Linked DNA regions of Caenorhabditis elegans. The protein of the gene in region 1 purifies or fractionates together with the protein of each later gene. This does not show direct contact. Each region holds a gene or a part of one and is shown in the gene's direction. Other genes may lie near its edges.

Region 1 (5,086 bases):
ATCGTTTCAGGACCCATCGCAAAAGTGGTGTGCCCCTTCCAAGGTATATTTTCCATTCTCTGAATTCATAATATTTTGGTAAAGTTATTTTCAACGTAATTTGTATAAAATCTTTTGCGAGTTTCTAGCAAATTTTTACTTTTGCCCCGAAAATACGGTACTCGGTCTCAACACGACAAACTTTGATTAACTTCGAAAAGGGATGCGCCTTTAGGGAGTACTGTAATTTTGTAACATTTTGTTGCCGTAGAATTTTCTATAAATTTAAAGAAAATAGGGAACTAAAAAAAAACCATAAGAAATTGTCGCGTCGAGACCGGTACCGTATTTTCAGCAGAAAAATTGCAATATTTCGCATCTAGATAATAAAACATTTTTACTTAAAAACATCACAAGCTTTATGGACAAATGATTTAGAAATTGATAGCATACTACATGGAAAAATAACAGATAATAAGCGGAATGTAAAAAAGGCTGAAAAATGTCGGTAAAATTATTGTGGAGTGATAGTCGATGTTCCATTTTCAGTGGTTATTTTGAGGAGAGCCCCGGAAGATGGACGGCTCGATGTTTCTGTGGTCCATTTGAGAAGATGTTCAGAGATGAATGAGAGTGGAGTCCAGCTGAAAAAAAAACATAGAAAACTATGCAAAAGAAAAAGAGTAATTTAATTTTACCTTGAATGATCAGCATTTGGCATCCATTTTCTGTTCATTGGGGTGTCCAAAGTGACTGGCATAATTGTCAAAACGGCCGAATTGTCAGGCAATCCCGAATCTTTGGCAGCCAATGAAGATGTCAGATGATGAACTGCAGCTTTTGCCATACCATATCCAATCATTGATGGAGTTGGTCCCATAGCAGCAGCAGCTCCTGTAAGCTGAAGAAGACCTCCCGGCTTGAGGTGAGTGGTGGCCAATTTGGCTGCAATTGCTGAACTCCAGACCTGAAAATTCACGGTAGAATAATACCAGATGTTTAGGATTAATATATGTTACCGATTGTTTGATCATTAAATCAGCATTTTTCACAAAATCTTTTGAAGAAGCGGAGCCTCCAGCCCATCCACCGGCAACACAGAAAACTCCATCAACCTGACTTCCCTGGAGAGATGAAGCAGTTCTGCAAATATTTTATGAGGTTACGGTAGCTTTTTTTTAAATTAAAAATACAACTTACTGCTCGAGAATGGATTGTTCTTGTTCTGTCCAATTTTTATTTCCGTCCACCAAAATATTACTGTCAGCTTGGTCATTGGCACTCAAGTCGATGTTTAGAACAGTCTGAAAATTAATGAAAATTAATTTACAACATCCTAATTCAATTTCTTTTAAAACTTACATAACCATTTTTCTTGAAGAATTCAAGAATAGCAGATCCAAGTGCGCCTTTGCCTCCGTATACGATAACTTTTCCACTGGACATTGTTCGAAACTGCAAGGAAAAAGTAAAGAATGACAATATGGAGGTTGAAGGACAAATTGGCCGCGTGGACGACGTCAAGGACGATTTTAATGTGATACTGGTATCAACGAGTGATCAGAGACACAGATTTTTAATGTTAAATGAGGGAAAACTTGATGGAATTCAGGAAAATAAAGATGAAACAACATTTTGGAAATCGGTTTCCGAGCTTGAACTCGAAACGAACTTTTGTTATCGAGAGTTTTATCAGTTATATTTTTGCAAGAAATTTGGCAGACATATCAATCGATAGCTCTTATTTAGCTCAACAACATTTAATATGAATCACAACAGGAAAATGTGAATTAGCTTCTCAGAATTCGTCAAAACATCGTGGGAAAAAATATAGGAAATTATTTTTTTACAATTGCGCTCTAATGTAGATGGCGAGACATCGTGTGGAAAGGAGAGACGATAGATAACTTTTTCTTTTCATTTAATTCTTTTTCTTGTTTCTATTATTATTTAAATGGTTTCGCATGAACTATTCATTTCAATTTATAAAATAAAATCATATTTAGAGTAAATTTTAAATATTTCAGCTATGAAATGCCATTACGAAGTGCTCGAAGTTGAACGCGACGCTGATGACGATAAAATCAAAAAGAACTACAGAAAACTAGCGCTCAAATGGCATCCCGACAAAAATCCGGATCGCATCGAAGAGTGTACTCAGCAATTTAGGCTTCTTCAAGCTGCGTACGACGTTTTGAGTGATCCACGAGAACGCGAATTTTACGATAGACATAGAGAAAGTATTCTGAAGGGAAAAAATACGGATTTCGAGGAACAATCCACGGATTTGTTCCCCTATTTCACCGCTTCTTGCTATCAAGGATATGAAAACGATAAAAATGTGAGAATGAAATCTAAAAAGTAAATCAAAATTATAAATTACAGGGCTTCTTCACTGTCTACCGGAAAGTCTTCAATATCCTAGTTTCTGAGGAATATGATGCGTACAACGATTCAACAATAGTCTATCCAGAGTTTGGCGACAAGGATACCGATTTGGAGCAAACTGTGAATGGTTTCTACGGTTTTTGGAGCTCTTTTTCGACAACTCGCTCTTTTGCCTGGCTGGATCATTATGATATCACACAGGCTTCAAATCGATTCGAATCACGGCAAATCGATCAGGAAAATAAGAAGTTTAGGGATGTCGGAAAGCAGGAAAGGAACGAGCAAATTAGGGTATGATTGTCCGGAATATTTAATTTTAAATTTAAATTTAACAAAATTTTTCAGAATCTGGTCGCTTTTGTTCGAAAACGTGATCCACGTGTCAAAGCATATAGGGAAATTTTGGAGCAAAAAAAATTGGAAGCACATAAGAAACAAGCTGATAATCGAAAAAAGCAGATCGCCAAAAATCAAGAGTAAGTTCCGAAATTGTGAAAAATAAGGAAAAAATTGAATTTTTCAGGCTAGCCAACTCATATCTGAACGACAAAGAAGCCGAGGCAGCCCGTCTTGCTCATTTGATTGAAGTTAGTCTACAAATGGCCGAGGATTACGATACTTGTAGTGATGAATGTGATGAAGAAGGAGAAGAACTTCCATATTGTGTTGTTTGTAGCAAATCGTTCAAAACTGTGTAAGCAGAATATTATAAAGACGCAGAAAAATGCCATTTTTGAAATGGAGATGCAAGTACGCTTCACGGAAAAATTAAATCGCTCCGCCTCCAAAGTTGGGTCTTGTTAGGCATTGGCTGCAAAACCTTAATTTCAAACGATTTTTGTTTAAAAAAAAGCTTAAAAAATGCACAATAATCGAAACATTGAGAATTGAAAAACGAAAATTATAGATTTATCGGAACTCCTTTAAAAAATTTTTTTTTGATCTTTTAAAATCGAAAAATCTAAATAAAACGTTTAAAAAATGAAAAAAAAGAAGAAAAATTGAAAAATTTGAGGTCATTTTTCTAAAAATCAAATTTTTTGAAATATTGAAAAAATTTTTAAAAAAACATCGAGAATTTTTTTTTCGAATTGGAATGAACCAAAACTAAAAAAAAATCGATATGTAATTTTCCGATATAAAAAAAAAGAAAAAAGACTAATTTTTCTTATCAAAATATACAAAACTTTATAAAAAAGTTGAAATTGTGTGTCAATTTTCTGAAAAATAATTTTTTTGATTTTTTGATTATTTTAGAAAAAAATGAAAATCCTTGAAGAAAAGTGAGAGACAAAAAATACGAAAAAATATTGAAAACGTTTAAAATTATGGATTTACCGCCACTACCTAACGAGACCCAACTTTTGTCCGTGGAGCGCGCTTGCACCTCAATTTCAAAAGTCTGATTATATTCATCTCTATAATATTCTTCAAACTTAATTTCAGAAACGCCAAGTTGAATCATGAGAACTCGAAGCAACACATCCGTCAGCTGAATGAGCTGAAAAAGCATATGAAAGAAGAAGATTCCACGATTTTCACCGAAGCAGAACCGAAACCCGACGAAACACCGAAAGGAAAGAAGAATAAGAGAAAGGATAGGAAAAAGGGGAATGGAATATTTGATGTGGAAGAAACAGAAGCAGTAGAAGCCGAGATTCAGGAAGCGCCGCCCGTGGAAAATGAGCAGCCGGAGGAAGAGGAAAAGGAATGTACCCCGGAAGTTGTTAAGAAAGAGAAAAAGAAGAGAAGAGGTACATTTTGTAGAATTGCAAAATCTTTAAAACAAAAACAAAAATTTTGTTTTCAGCTGATAAAAATCAAAACCCATCGGCGACAGTAGAGGAAGAAGCACCGAAGTCAACTGAACCAAAATCTGCAATTTGTGATAAATGCCGTGAGGTATTCGATAGCCGGACCAGGTTATTTGCTCATTTACAAGAAACCGGACACGCCACGTTGCTCATCAACAAACCAGGAGAAAAAGGACAGAAGAAGGCGAAAAATAAGAAGGGACAACGTGGAAATAAGGGGGATGATGAGGATTGGTGAAACATTTTTTTTTTGGTATTTATTCTTGTTCTAATTGTTTTGTTTGTGAAAGTTTAATAAATATTTTTCAAAATTCAATTTTATTGAAATGTTTCGGGAAGAATAATGGGCAAATAATGAGTACCAAAATGTTCAATATTTAGTATTCAAAGTTACAGTGAAAGTTACAGTGAAAATTAGTGGAAGGGTACATGAAAAAAAGTAATACAGATTAAAACATGACAAGTGAACGATGATGATTCATTAATCCTTTGAAATATTTGACCGTCTTCACTTTCAACTCCAACGTGGCATCTTCGTCGGCAATAAACGTTGCACATCGATGCATCTGCATCGCAGAGACCGTACACATGTGAGAGATTCCGCATTCGATTGCCTGATGAAGAGCCAGCGCTTTGTGTGATCCTGTGATGAGAATCATCACTTCACGAGCATCCATTACAGTCTGGACGCCGACTGTCAGAGCTTGTGTTGGCACTTTTGTGATGTCTCCACCGAAGAAACGAGCGTTAGCCTGGAATTATTATTTTACTCCTGATTCCAAATATCTATGTGCACACGCGGTTCTGGCTCATTTTGACTCGGCCAAGGCCGGGGTTTAGTTGCAACGCTAAATGTATTTGTCCGTGTGGAGTACACGACTTTCCAGCAGGCAATTGTCAATGTA
Region 2 (4,028 bases), 7.0 Mb from region 1:
ATGAAATGAATTTGACTGGTTTGTGCAACAGAGCTTCGTGTCCATTGGCTAACTCACAGTATGCAACAGTTCGTGAGGAGAACGGAGTATGTTACTTGTACGCAAAAGTTGTCGAACGATCTCACTATCCACGTCGTTTATGGGAAAAGACAAAGTTGTCAAAGGATATGAACAAAGCATTGGAACAAATCAGTGATCAACTTCTTCATTGGAGTGAATATGTTAGACACAAGTGCAAAGCTCGTCTCATCCGAATTCATCAATATTTGATCAGAATGCGTAAAATGGCAGTCCGTGGAAAGTAAGTTTAAACTTATAGAAACTGAATTTTGCATAGTATTATTTATTTTCAGCCAGAAGAAACTCATTCCAATTGGACGGAAAGTGGAAAGACGTGAGAAACGTCGTGAAGAGAAGGCACTTGTTGCAGCTAAACTTGATCACGCTATTGAGAAAGAGCTCTTAGCCAGACTTAAGTGAGTTGATATATTAGAAAGTGCACATTTTGAATGAAACAACTTTTAGACAAGGAACATATGGCGATGTTTACAACTTCCGTCAAGAGGCATTCGAACAAATGCTGGAAAACACTGAAAAAGAGTTGGAAGTGGAGCAAGAACTCGAGCAGGACGACGCAGACACGGGTGAGACTCAGTTCGTCGCTGACTTTGATAGTTCCGACGATGAGGATCAGGACATGGAAGACGGAGGTGATGGACATTGGTCACCAGGAGATACTGACAGTGAGAACGAGGATAATTGGCAGCCAGAACAAGAACAAGAGGATTCGGATGAAGATGATGAGGAAGGAGGTGATGAGCCAATGGAAATTGAGGAGCCACCAAAGAAGAAGGTAAAGAAGGAGCCGAAGAAAAAGACTGGGAAGAAAGCTGCTGATGGAAAGAAGAAGAAGCTCAAGAAACGAGCTCATGTTGAGATTGAATACGAAGAAGAAACGGAGCCACGACAAAGGGTCAAGGCATAAAACTTCGCATTCCATTTTGTCTGTTATCGTTATTTTTGTTCTTTTCTTTTATTCGCCCTCTTCCAATTGTGTTGTTGTTATTTGCTTTTTAATTTTTAACTCTTTTACCCAAAAATTCAAATGAAAATTGTTACTTTTCCTTGTTTACTAAAAATTAAACTGATTGGTTTTTTTTCCAATTTTATTTTATTGTTCCAATCACATATTTTTGTACTCTATAAAACCCATTGTTTTCAGAGAAGACCGGGAGGAAGCCATGGATTCGCCGGCGTGGATGTTCACGAAGGCGCTGAGCCATAGACAGAAGGTAATTTTTATTTTTGAAAAGCTTTAGTCGTTTGTGAAATTGGTAGCGTTGTTTTTTAATCTGATTGGAGATTTCGTCTGTTTAAAATGTAGCGAATTATTGCATTTTCAGGTCACCCGCCTCTACAAACGCTGTCTTCGCGAAGTTGACAACTGGTATGGAGGAAACAATCTGGAAGTTCGCTTCCAAAAGTGTATTATCCGTGCTCGATTCGACGCTAACGCTGATGAGGTTGACACCCGTAAGAGCCAGATCCTTCTTGCCGACGGATGCCGTCAATTGTGGGAGAAACGTCATTTCAAGCCTTTCCGTTTTGCTCTCGATCCAGGAGGTTCCAGTTATGATCGTGAACGCGAGTCGCCGGATGAGATTGTCGATTCGGATCAATGGACATTGGCTGAACGTGAACAGTTCCCCTACTACTTCAATACTCGTGAGCAGAGAAAGAAGGAGTTGCTGACTCACTGGGCCAAAATCGAAAAAGCTTGGGATGAGGAGATCGCGTCAATTCAAACCCAACTACCAGCTGCTGCCCCAACTGTTTCCAAATAGGCCACTATGAGGAAGTAATGCGATTGATTTTAAGTAGAACGAGCTCACTCGTAGACCGAATAATTTTGTTTTGTTTTTTATGAATTTAACGTCACTGAACAAATAAATATAGCTGTATTTTCATTGTATATTATCATTTATTATTCATCTGTTTAAATGGTTATTGCTGACCATTTGCATATTTTTTCCAATTTATTTAAATTTCTTCTTGTAAGCTTTAAATTAAACATTTTATTACAGAGATCTATCAGAATGGATGGATCTACAGGGTTCACATGTGTAACATGCCGTGTCGTCTTCGAGACAGCCGAGCTGCAGAGAGATCATTACAAAACCGAATGGCATCGGTACAATCTGAAAAGACAAGCTGCTGAGCTTCCAGCTATAGGAATTGAGCTTTTCAATGAGAAAGCTGCATCGTTCAACCCAACAAAGGTAGGGGAAAAGTTTTCTAATGTTCGCTTAATACTTACTCATTATCAATTTTTCAGCCAGTCGTTGCTGCTTCAGTTGAACCATTGTACTGCAAGGCTTGTCGGAAATCAATCAAATCGGAGAATGCAATGACTGATCACGTAGCTAGCAAAAAGCACAAGGAAAATGAGAAGAAGATTGAGGATGATGTGAAGAAAGGTCCAAAGCAACCAAGAAAGAAGCCAGAGAATTTGCCAAAGAAACCTGAGTCACTAAAGGAACCTGAAAATGATGAAGATGATGACTCGAGTGGATGGGAAACTGACGATGAGGAGGAAGGTGTGGAGGAACTAAATGAGGATGATGCTCTTCCAGTCACATCTTGTCTGTTTTGTCCACAGACAAAGCCTAATATGGATGAAATGCGTACTCATATGAACTTCCATCATGGATTCCAACTTCCAGACAGGCAATACTTGAGCGATGAACTTGGATGCTTAAGCTACTTGGGACTTAAAGTTGGAGCTGGTCGTTGCTGTATCTTCTGCCCAGACGTTAAAGCCAGATACGAATCAGTTCAGAGTTGTCAGCAGCACATGCGAGATAAGCAGCACTGCAAACTCCGCAGAGATCCTGAAAGCATGATTGAGCTCGACGACTACTATGATTACAGTCCGATGTATGATGGAGATGATCAAGATAAGTCAGAACTGTTTGATGATGGATGGTCGCTTACTCTCCCTTCTGGAGCTAAAATTGGACACCGTAACCTTCATCGATATTTCAAACAATACCTTCGCCCAGTTGATGGTACACAGAGACTTGTTTCAAGAGCAGCACTCGATAAAGCAAAGGGATTCTATCCAGCTCTCGCTTGGACTGGAACTACGAGTAAGTTTTATTAGAATTCTATGACATCAAATAGTAGAAATAAAAAGAAATGTAACAAAAATAATATTTCAGCTGTCGCGGCCAAGAAGGTTGCTCGAGACATGAAGTTCGTTGAGCGTTTCCGTCGTCGTTTCGATCTGCGTGTGGCAGTCAAGTCGAACAAGTTGTTCAAGACAAACGGATTCGTCGGAGACAATCATTGACCACTTCATTCCAATTTTTCTGTTCCTGTTTGCTAACCTTGTTGTTTTTGCCGTTACCCCCGTTATGTTGACATTTTTCAATGAATATCCATCTGAAATAATTCGCTTCGATATACCAAAGAGGGATTTGGTAATGATCTGGTTTTCAAATTCAACACAATTCTAATTAGATCAAGTGTTTTGACCAAAATTTTCTTCAAAGGGAGGACCAAGTTATTACGAGCGCAGGTCTCACAACGAACACATTTACTACGGTAATCTTCAACTTTATTCATCATACAACGAAATCTTCCCTATTTAGAATTTAGCTTTTTCTTGGCGTATTCTGAACATTTTTTGCTAAATACGTCGCTTTTGTTAAGCAATTAAAAAATAGAACTATACATTTTCGCTCTCGCCTTCTAAATATTTATTTTTCGAAAACATTTCTTCTTCTTTTGATTGGCTACGGTATGCGAGTCCGCAATAGTCCGTCGCGGTGATTGCACACTTTTATCTTCCGAGAATTTTTTTACAATTTTATTTTCCATTTTCTCATTAATTTTTCCCCGAAAAAAAAAAAGAAAATGCCATGTTTTTGTTTTCAAAAAATTGTCGATATTTTATTTACTCGTAATATCTCTTCCGGGGTGATGAATATTTTGTTTCAGATGGTTAAACTAGATGAGGTAACAAA

Evidence for each region.
Region 2: the proteins of dnj-17 (region 1) and znf-622 fractionate together in Caenorhabditis elegans (co-fractionation; one large-scale study listed by BioGRID). This does not show direct contact.

Annotation. Positions count from the first base shown.
Region 1 is NC_003281.10:13,390,258-13,395,343, reverse strand, and holds dnj-17 (DnaJ homolog subfamily C member 21), read left to right. Parts: upstream 1-2,004; 5' UTR 2,005-2,008; coding exon 2,009-2,320; intron 2,321-2,364; coding exon 2,365-2,658; intron 2,659-2,712; coding exon 2,713-2,843; intron 2,844-2,890; coding exon 2,891-3,061; intron 3,062-3,813; coding exon 3,814-4,121; intron 4,122-4,177; coding exon 4,178-4,419; 3' UTR 4,420-4,494; downstream 4,495-5,086. Other genes in the region: qdpr-1 (Dihydropteridine reductase), read right to left, coding at 494-623, 678-946, 999-1,122, 1,180-1,283, 1,342-1,425; T03F6.3 (Glucosamine-6-phosphate deaminase), read right to left, coding at 4,631-4,933.
Region 2 is NC_003281.10:6,379,550-6,383,577, forward strand, and holds znf-622 (C2H2-type domain-containing protein), read left to right. Parts: upstream 1-2,084; 5' UTR 2,085-2,096; coding exon 2,097-2,279; intron 2,280-2,335; coding exon 2,336-3,149; intron 3,150-3,221; coding exon 3,222-3,352; 3' UTR 3,353-3,447; downstream 3,448-4,028. Other genes in the region: C16A3.6 (Protein MAK16 homolog), read left to right, coding at 1-301, 354-476, 526-985; C16A3.5 (NADH dehydrogenase [ubiquinone] 1 beta subcomplex subunit 9), read left to right, coding at 1,242-1,292, 1,404-1,844; let-716 (rRNA biogenesis protein RRP5), read left to right, coding at 4,003-4,028.